Yarrowia lipolytica: one gene and its partner. The protein of the gene in region 2 interacts with the protein of the main gene of each other region in a pairwise test. Links are inferred from orthologs where the notes say so. Each region holds a gene or a part of one and is shown on either strand. Other genes may lie near its edges. The genes, in order: YALI1_E26205g and YALI1_F27343g.

The links.
Region 1: the proteins of YALI1_F27343g (region 2) and YALI1_E26205g interact in a protein complementation assay, tested with the Saccharomyces cerevisiae proteins (2 studies listed by BioGRID). The link is inferred for Yarrowia lipolytica from reciprocal best matches to the Saccharomyces cerevisiae genes MCD4 and ERV25.

What each region holds. Positions count from the first base shown.
Region 1 is NC_090774.1:2,618,676-2,621,772, reverse strand, and holds YALI1_E26205g (uncharacterized protein), read right to left. Parts: upstream 1,204-3,097; coding exon 568-1,203; downstream 1-567. Other genes in the region: YALI1_E26223g (uncharacterized protein), read left to right, coding at 1-247.
Region 2 is NC_090775.1:2,730,744-2,736,142, reverse strand, and holds YALI1_F27343g (uncharacterized protein), read left to right. Parts: upstream 1-1,813; coding exon 1,814-4,612; downstream 4,613-5,399. Other genes in the region: YALI1_F27356g (uncharacterized protein), read right to left, coding at 1-454. UniProt on the Saccharomyces cerevisiae protein: Ethanolamine phosphate transferase involved in glycosylphosphatidylinositol-anchor biosynthesis. Transfers ethanolamine phosphate to the first alpha-1,4-linked mannose of the glycosylphosphatidylinositol precursor of GPI-anchor.

The DNA of each region.
Region 1 (3,097 bases), on a different chromosome or scaffold from region 2:
GCCGATTGAAGAGAAACCGAAAAAGAAGAAGAGGAAGAAGAACAATGTTTTTGTAGAAGATGTGCCTCTGGCGTTCTCATGGTTCACAAAGTCAGACACGATTAACACTGCTGATCTACGACGAATAGCCAAGTTGGTGAAAGATAACGCCAGTGAGAAGGATTTCAAAGACATGATGGAGGTGGCTGGAGCTGTCGGCGGCAAGATTGATATTCAAGCATTTGAGGGGTTACTGAAGAAGCTCTAAAAGTCCAGAAGAGAGACCCAGATCAGACGCAAGCATATGCGATGACCTCTTGGCGAGCGTTTATTTATATGTAACGAAAGATACGAATTACCTAATGACCATACAAGTAGTGAGTATATAGTGCAACCATTACAATCGTTATAACCATTGTTCATCAGATCACGATTTGTCGTCCAAATCAGCTTTCACGTTCTACGAGTACACAACAGTCCTTTCTGACCACTACAAGCAGACACTTTTCAAGCGTCCTCATTCTCGAGCGCGTCACATTGTGTCTCTTTTCATTCTAACAATTATCAATTTTTTGATTTGAACCCCTTTTAAATGATATGCTTGGATCGGAAGTAAGATCTGAGGTAGATGATCTGCCAGACGCCGAGAGCAATGAGAGCCAAGGTGATGCCGACGGAGAAGAACTTGACTCGTCGGTTAGTGGACTCGTTGGTGTCTCGCAGCCTGATCTCTCGCATCTTGAGGTAGTTCATTTCCTTGTCCACCTCATCGACGATCTCCTCGATCTTTCGCAGCTGCACCTCTGCGGGCTTGAGCTTTTCGGAGGCCTGGATCTGCTCCCAGTCTCGGGCGTTGGCTCCAATGGCGACCGACAGATCAATCTCCTTGGTCTTTCCGAGATCCTGGTGCGAGTTGGCCACGTTGTGGAAGCACACGTCCAGAGCAGTGTCCTGATGAGAGCTAAAGGTGGTGATCTCTCGGCCCAGAACATTCTTGATTCGGGTGTACTCGTTTCCATGTGCGTCTCGAACGACCACGCTCAGCTGCTGGCCGTCAGCGTACTTGGGAGACTCGACAGTGACGACAACGAGCTCGCCGTTCTTGACAAAGTCTCGCACACAAAAGGGCAGCTCGTTCTTGTCCTTGGCAGGCAGCACAAACCGCAGGGCGGCCACGGCGTTGATGAGGAGCAGCAGGGTCAGCACGCTCACGATGGATTTCATGGTTGGCGTTCGGTCTGTGTATGTGTTGAGTTGAAAAGGTAGGAAGGTGGAGTGCACTTAGCGTGTGATAGTTACGTGTTAACTTTACGCGTGTTCAGGGTTGTGGTAGGTGGTAACTTTGTGGTCCTTAAAAGCGGTATAGCTGGTGGCTAGAAAGTATATAAGGGTGGCTAGGGGCCCTGTTCAGACTGTGGATTTGCAGTGAGGTCTGGGCCAGTCGAAAAGAGTCCTTATAACGTCCACTGCGCACGGCTCTCAATCTGAGATCAAGCGAAAAGACCCTTTCAAAACTCCGAACCTTGATTGCGCCCACGAAGCAGTTGGAGACTCATAGCAATGAGAGGGAGAGCAGCGCACCGTCACGTGACGAATATGATGGGGGGTTGGGGTTGGGGGATGGGTTGTGACAGCCTCCGAACCGACGAAACACGTCTAGGTCTCTATTTATACCCCAATTCACGTGATCCTCCTCTTCCAACAGAACTTAATCCATCTCTTCAGACAAGATCGTTGGCGCATACAGTAATATGATCGTGTGCCGGGGTCGAGTTGGGAGAGACACGCACGGCAAGTGAGGTGGAAGGATGAATAAGCGGGTCAACAGGTGCCCAAAAAACACCAAAGCCAACTAGGTTCATTCATTTGGCTGCTGCTTCACATCTTGTGGTACTACATTGTAGTTCGGCTATGGCTTCGTTCCATTTCTCGGTCAGATTATGACTGCACTATAGCTACAGGTACTTGTAGTATATCAAGCATAGTGACCACCGACAGACAGCGCAGCATGTCGATCCTCTGTATCAGTTTGGAGAGATGATCGCTATCGGAACAACTATGTACACTGTACGAGGCGAGTGTGCGAGTGAGAGTACGACTAAAAGTACGACTGAAAGTACGACTGAAAGTACGATTGAAAGTACGACTGAAAAATTCAAGTGTCAGCACAAGTTCCGGTATCGTACTGTATCCAGCTACAGCACATCGCGGTATAGTATACATACTGTACACTGCAATATTGCAATGTTTGTAGTGGTCTAACTCGCCTATCTAAGAAGTCATCGGTCAATATATATACCGTATGTACTTCTCTTCGGCCAGTACTCGTATTTGTACAAGTACCATTGTTCTGTTCTGCAATCACTGGTGCAACTTCATGTGTTGTCAGGTCCGGATTAGCCTTCAATTTAAATTATCTGGAGACTGCAAGCTGTCAATGTCAGGGGTTGAATGTGGGATTATAATTAGTGTGCCGGGAGTGCAATTCCTGTACACGACCCCAGCAGTCTCATGTCCTTGAAAGTGAGCTTTTTGTGTTTGTTTCCATCCCAACTGGTGGTTTCGTAGGTCGCTCTTTTCACGTCCCCCCTTGCACGAGGCTGGCTCATCACCTTTCCCTACAGCCTAAACCCGCCCTACCTGTATGTATCAATATACCGTTTGCTGGCTGTACAGTGAGAGATATTGCGGGCGAGAGAGACGCCGAAAGAGGCGGATGTTGAGTCTTTTTGAAACCGTGGCAGTCTATAATCAGCCGTGGGGCGGAAAATGCCGCTACCAGACTGCCACCCACTGGCACTACCGTCTCAAAGTGGCCTATAGCCCGCCTTATATATATAACCACAATTGGCTGACATGTGCAAGGGTGCATGAAGGGTGCGTGGGTGGGACAAGTGCTTGTATGAGGTTGGTATTTTTGTATTCTTGGGACTTGCTGCATCCCCCTATTTGACGCTCTTGTAGAAATGCTTCCGGGTGGAAAAACACCACGACAAAAGGCGCTGAGGATTTTCAAGAAGCTTGTGTCCCTCATTTTATGTCCACTGACACATGTCTACACTAAGTCCACCTTTTTCCAATCATCTGTTTACCTCTTTCCCACCTAAGGTTGGTTTCA
Region 2 (5,399 bases):
GCTTGGAAGTCACGGACTTGGAAGCCTCGTCTCGAACAATCAGTCGTCCTCCAATTCCTAGATCTCTGTCCCACCACACAGAGCTGAAAGCACCAGAGTAAGGAGCCACACCCAACAAATTATACCCATCCACAGGCTGCTTGATACTGATGGGCTTGACTCGGCCACATAGAGCATCGGTATGCGTGGCAACAACTCCGACACCGTTTCCAGGCGTCCAATTCTCACCAATTACGAATCCCATGATAGCGCTTCCGTTTCGTCGCACGTAGAACTTATTGTGTGTCGTGAGGTCCCATTCGTCTCGCTCATACAACTCCTTGTATCCAGCTGCATCAAAGTCTTGGGCCAGAAGATCGCATGCATGGTAGGCCGTGGGGGCGTTGGACATGAAGTCCATGAAACGCTCAGCTTGCTCTTTCCAAGACATGTTGTGTTGCATAATGTCGTCCATGTGTGGTGTTTATGTATCAGATATCAGCCCTGTACAGAATGAGCGCGGTAGCTTAGCTACTTGTAGTTAGTCTCAGTGACATGCAGCGATTATGTGGGGTGTTATATTGGGGGACCAATGGGGGTGTGGGAAGCGTTTGTAGGGAAGGATATACACTAGGATAAGTTACTGTTTGGCAAGTGTTTACAAAAGTAAATGATATTGTTCAGATCACCGACGAGTTTCCTCTATGGTTTGTAACGTGTCTATATACAGTAGTGGGTGGGTGGCAGCTTATACTCTCAGTGGCTGGTCAGTGTCCTAAATTCAGCCAACTCGACAGTGGCTAACATGGAAGGGCTGTGGGTGTACTTTTCGATATGCTGGAAGGTACAAGTATATCTGATTCGAATTAGTTCCGAAGTAAAGTGGGAGTGGAACAGAGTGCCCCAGATATGTTATATTCGCCTCCATTGCCAGTCAGATGGTGTTCTACTTGTTCAACATCGTTTGTTTTTTCCTGCATATACATTCATTTAATTATACAGTAACTTTCAAACTACTGTACTTGAACTACAGTATTATCTTGCGTACAACAAAAGTCATACGTAAAAAATATAACAAGAACCGTGTGTACCTGTGCAGCCGTTTGCTCTTCGAGTAAGAATTCCATCTGGTCGTTAGGCCTTCATATTGCTTTATATGATACAAGTATTGTACAAGCACTTGCAACCCGACACGTCAACTAAAACGTGTACTACGTATATGTCCTTTACGAGTACAACTACTGTACAGTATGTACTTGTAGCTGTTATACGAATGCACTGGCATTACGAAGAACAAGAGATAATAAGTGATGTCTATACATGTTTTACTGTATGGCATTGGTGCAAAGTCAATAATACAAAATATTGTATATAAAAAGTCGTATGTGACCCTCTGACAACGATTGTGTCAACTCCCACATTTCTCTCAATTTAATTCGAATTACTATGATATATTCTAGTAAATCATCCGTATATACGCAATTAAATTTAGATTCTATTTCCGATCTCGAAGTGGGACTACAGAACAAGTACAACAGAACCTAATACTCTGATTTCGTGGAACACGCGTGTTTTTTTCACTTGACACGTAGCCTACTGAATCAACTTACTTAGATGTAAAAGAGGATGATCCATAATCTAATGTACGTCCCTGGGGTCCCTCAGATCCACTAGACTGGCTCAAGCTGGTTCTTCTGCTAGCACCTTCCGTACACACCCCACATCTGACCCCTTACAACCCTATCCCACGTGTAGACGTGGTTCATGCAGCATTCACCACTAAGGTCCTTTTTGTGCTTGACGATTCGCCAAATCACCATATTGCCCAGATAAGATGATATCGCTCAACAAGAAGCTGGTGCTGCTGGTGGGAGTCATTTTCCATGTGGCCTTCATGTGGTCAATCTTCGACATCTACTTTGTGTCGCCCTTGATCCATGGCATGAAGCATCACCAGAGTACCGCTACTCCGCCTGCCAAGCGGCTGTTCCTCATTGTGGGAGACGGTCTGAGAGCCGACAAGGCCTTTGAGAAGGTGCGACATCCCACAACTGGCGAGTCCGAGTACCTGGCTCCTTTTTTGCGTTCAAAGGTCATGTCCGACGCGACTTTTGGCATCTCACACACCCGAATGCCCACAGAAAGTCGTCCTGGCCATGTGGCGCTCATTGCAGGCTTCTACGAGGACGTGAGTGCCGTCACAAAGGGATGGAAGGAAAACCCTGTGGACTTTGACTCCGTTTTCAACCAGTCCAGACACACTTACTCGCTTGGATCTCCCGATATCTTGCCCATGTTCAAGCATGGAGCCGAGGATCAATCGCGAATTGATGCTATCATGTATGGCCACGACTTTGAGGATTTCACAAAGGGTTCTATTGAGCTTGACGCGTTCGTTTTCGACCACCTGGACGAGATCTTCGATAAATCAAAGACCAACAAGACTCTGAACGACCAATTGAGATCCGACAAGACCGTCTTCTTCCTGCATCTGCTTGGAATCGACACTGCTGGTCATTCTTACCGACCCTACTCGGCTGAGTATTACGATAACATCAAGTACATTGATGAGAACATCGAGAAGTTGGTGGACAAGGTGAACAAGTTCTACAACGATGACGAACAGACCGCTTGGGTGTTTACGGCCGATCACGGCATGTCCGATTGGGGTTCACACGGTGACGGTCACCCTGATAACACTCGAACTCCTCTCATCGCTTGGGGAGCTGGAGTTAACAAGCCAATCCCCGCCTTCGAAGACAAGGGTAATCACGACGACTACTCAGAGGTCTGGGATCTGCCTGTCAAGCGAAATGACGTCAACCAGGCTGATATCGCCTCTCTTATGTCGTACCTTGTGGGTCTCAACTACCCCTCTAACTCTGTCGGAGAGCTTCCTCTGGCTTTTGTGAACGCTACTTCTGAGACCAAGGCTCTGGCTATCCGAAACAACGCTCTTGCTCTTGTGGAGCAGTACCTAGTCAAGGAAGAGCAGCAGAAGGGTTCCCAGATCATTTTCAAGCCTTACCCTCCCCTCTCTGATGCTGGAAAGACCATCGATGAGAGACTGGCCCATATCGACGAGCTGATTGCCCAGGGACTCGACCAGGAGTCGATTGTTGCCTCTGAGGAACTCATGACATATGCCATCACCGGCCTTAAGTACCTTCAGACCTACAATTGGCTGTTCCTGCGAACCCTGGTGACCATAGGCTTCTTTGGATGGATTGCTGTTGCCTTCTGCTCTTACCTGCTTGCCTTCGTGGTTCAGTCCGACAAGCCTTTTACCACGTCTCTTCCTCTCAAGGGAGTTGCCTACGTTGCCCTGGCCATTCTTTCAGGCTTCTTCGTTTTCCAGAAGTCTCCTCTCCACTACCACCTCTACGCTGTCTTTCCTGTTGTCTTCTGGGAGGCTGTCTTGCAGAGGCGAACTGCTGTTGCCGAGGGTATCTCCATTCTGGCACGACGATCTACCTCTAAGGCTCCAGCTCTTGCTGCTATTTTGGACATTGGTCTCTCTCTTGTTCTCCTTGAGGCCATTGTTTACGGGTACTTCCACCGAGAGATATTCTCTGTTTGTTTCGGACTCGCTACTCTGTGGCCCTTTGTGCACAACTTCACTGTTGCCAAGCGAGAATGGCCCACTACTCTTGCCTGGGTTGTCATGTGCGCAATCATGTCTTCCTTCACACTTCTGGAGGTCGTGAAGGTGGAGTCTATTGAGCAGATTCTGCTTTCTGGTGCCCTCATGCTGGTCATTGGACTGGTGTTCACTATTCATCTGCAGCGAAAACTTGCTCTTGCGGCCTCCACTGTTTGCGTTCTCTTTGCTCAGATCCTTCTCGTTGTTGCAACCATGTACTTCACTCGAGAGTCCGTTGAGTCTCTTACTGCTCGAAACGGTCTTCCTCTGTTTTCTCAGGTTGGAGGATGGATCTCTCTTCTTCTCTCCCTTGCAGTGCCCTTCTTACACTTCCTGGGATCTGATGCCAAGGACTACAGACTGCGTCTGCTCATCATCTTCCTGGCATTTGGACCTACCTTTGTCATCCTCACCATCTCGTGGGAGGGATTCTTCTACGTCTGTTTCTTTGCTATCCTTGTCATCTGGATTGAGCTTGAGACTCAAATGCGAGATGCCCGAGTGACACCCCAGACCCGGGCTGATCTTACTCCTGGTGACTTCCGAATGGCTTTGTTCACCTTCTTCATGTCCCAGATTGGTTTCTTCGGTATTGGAAACATTGCCTCCATTTCGTCTTTCTCTCTGGACTCTGTGTACCGATTGATTCCTGTATTTGACCCCTTCTCCATGGGTGCTCTGCTCATGTTCAAGATCTTGGTGCCGTTTGCTGTCCTATCTGCATGTCTGGGCATCTTGAACCTGAAGCTTGGAGTTCCTCCTTCGGCGCTGTTCTCCATGGTCTTGTGTGTCTCCGACATTCTGACACTCAACTTCTTCTATCTGGTTGTCGATGAGGGCTCATGGCTCGACATTGGCACTGGTATTTCACACTACTGTATCGCCAGTGGTCTCAGTCTGTTCATGATGGTGTTAGAGTACCTCTCTGGCGTTTTAGTTGCTGGAGTGACCATCGCACCGCACGTTTCCAAGATCAAGAAGGACATGTAAATAGAGTCCGGGGTTTTGGATAGCAACAAACACAAAAAATGAACACAACGTATAACAAATATATATTATTAGAGTATTGAACAGGGCCTGCCGCGTGTACTTGTGGGTACCCGTGGTGTCGTTGGTGTTCTTTATGTTCTGCCCCTTCGTTCGATGATTAAGGTTTTATTATCTCAGGACCATATTTGGAGTGTTTCGGTACAGCACTTGAATTATGTAGCCTGTACATCAGGAGATGCAGATAACCGGCTGTATGGAAAGAGAGGCACATTGAAGGTATTGTAGTCGTCAATGTGTATATATACGGGCAGTGTGTATTAAAACAAACATCTTACTTTATACTGTATATTCATACTCATATTCATCGTAGCTCCTATTACATGGTGTAACGTTACTGTACTGTCAGTCATTACTTTTTCTGTGAAGATCAGTGGCCTCTGGTGTTTTTGGCCAACAACATGATACCATTTTTTTTTTTTTTTGCATATACATTCATTTAATTATAACTTTGCCGTGATATTGGGAGTGGAAAAAGGTGGGTACAGTAGACGATAGAGCACTACTTATACAGCACGAGAGGAAGTTTTCCTGACAGTTGAGTGAAATAATGAGCTACCATAAATCAATCAATCTTGAGATTGTTTGTCTGCGATAATATACCACCACCTCTACAGCGTAGTCATAAATAAATTGCCCACCTCCAACCTCCTTCCAGCCATCGACATATATGCAATTGAGTAGTTTAATCGCCACAATCAGCTGCTTAAGGTGCAGGAAGATAAATTGC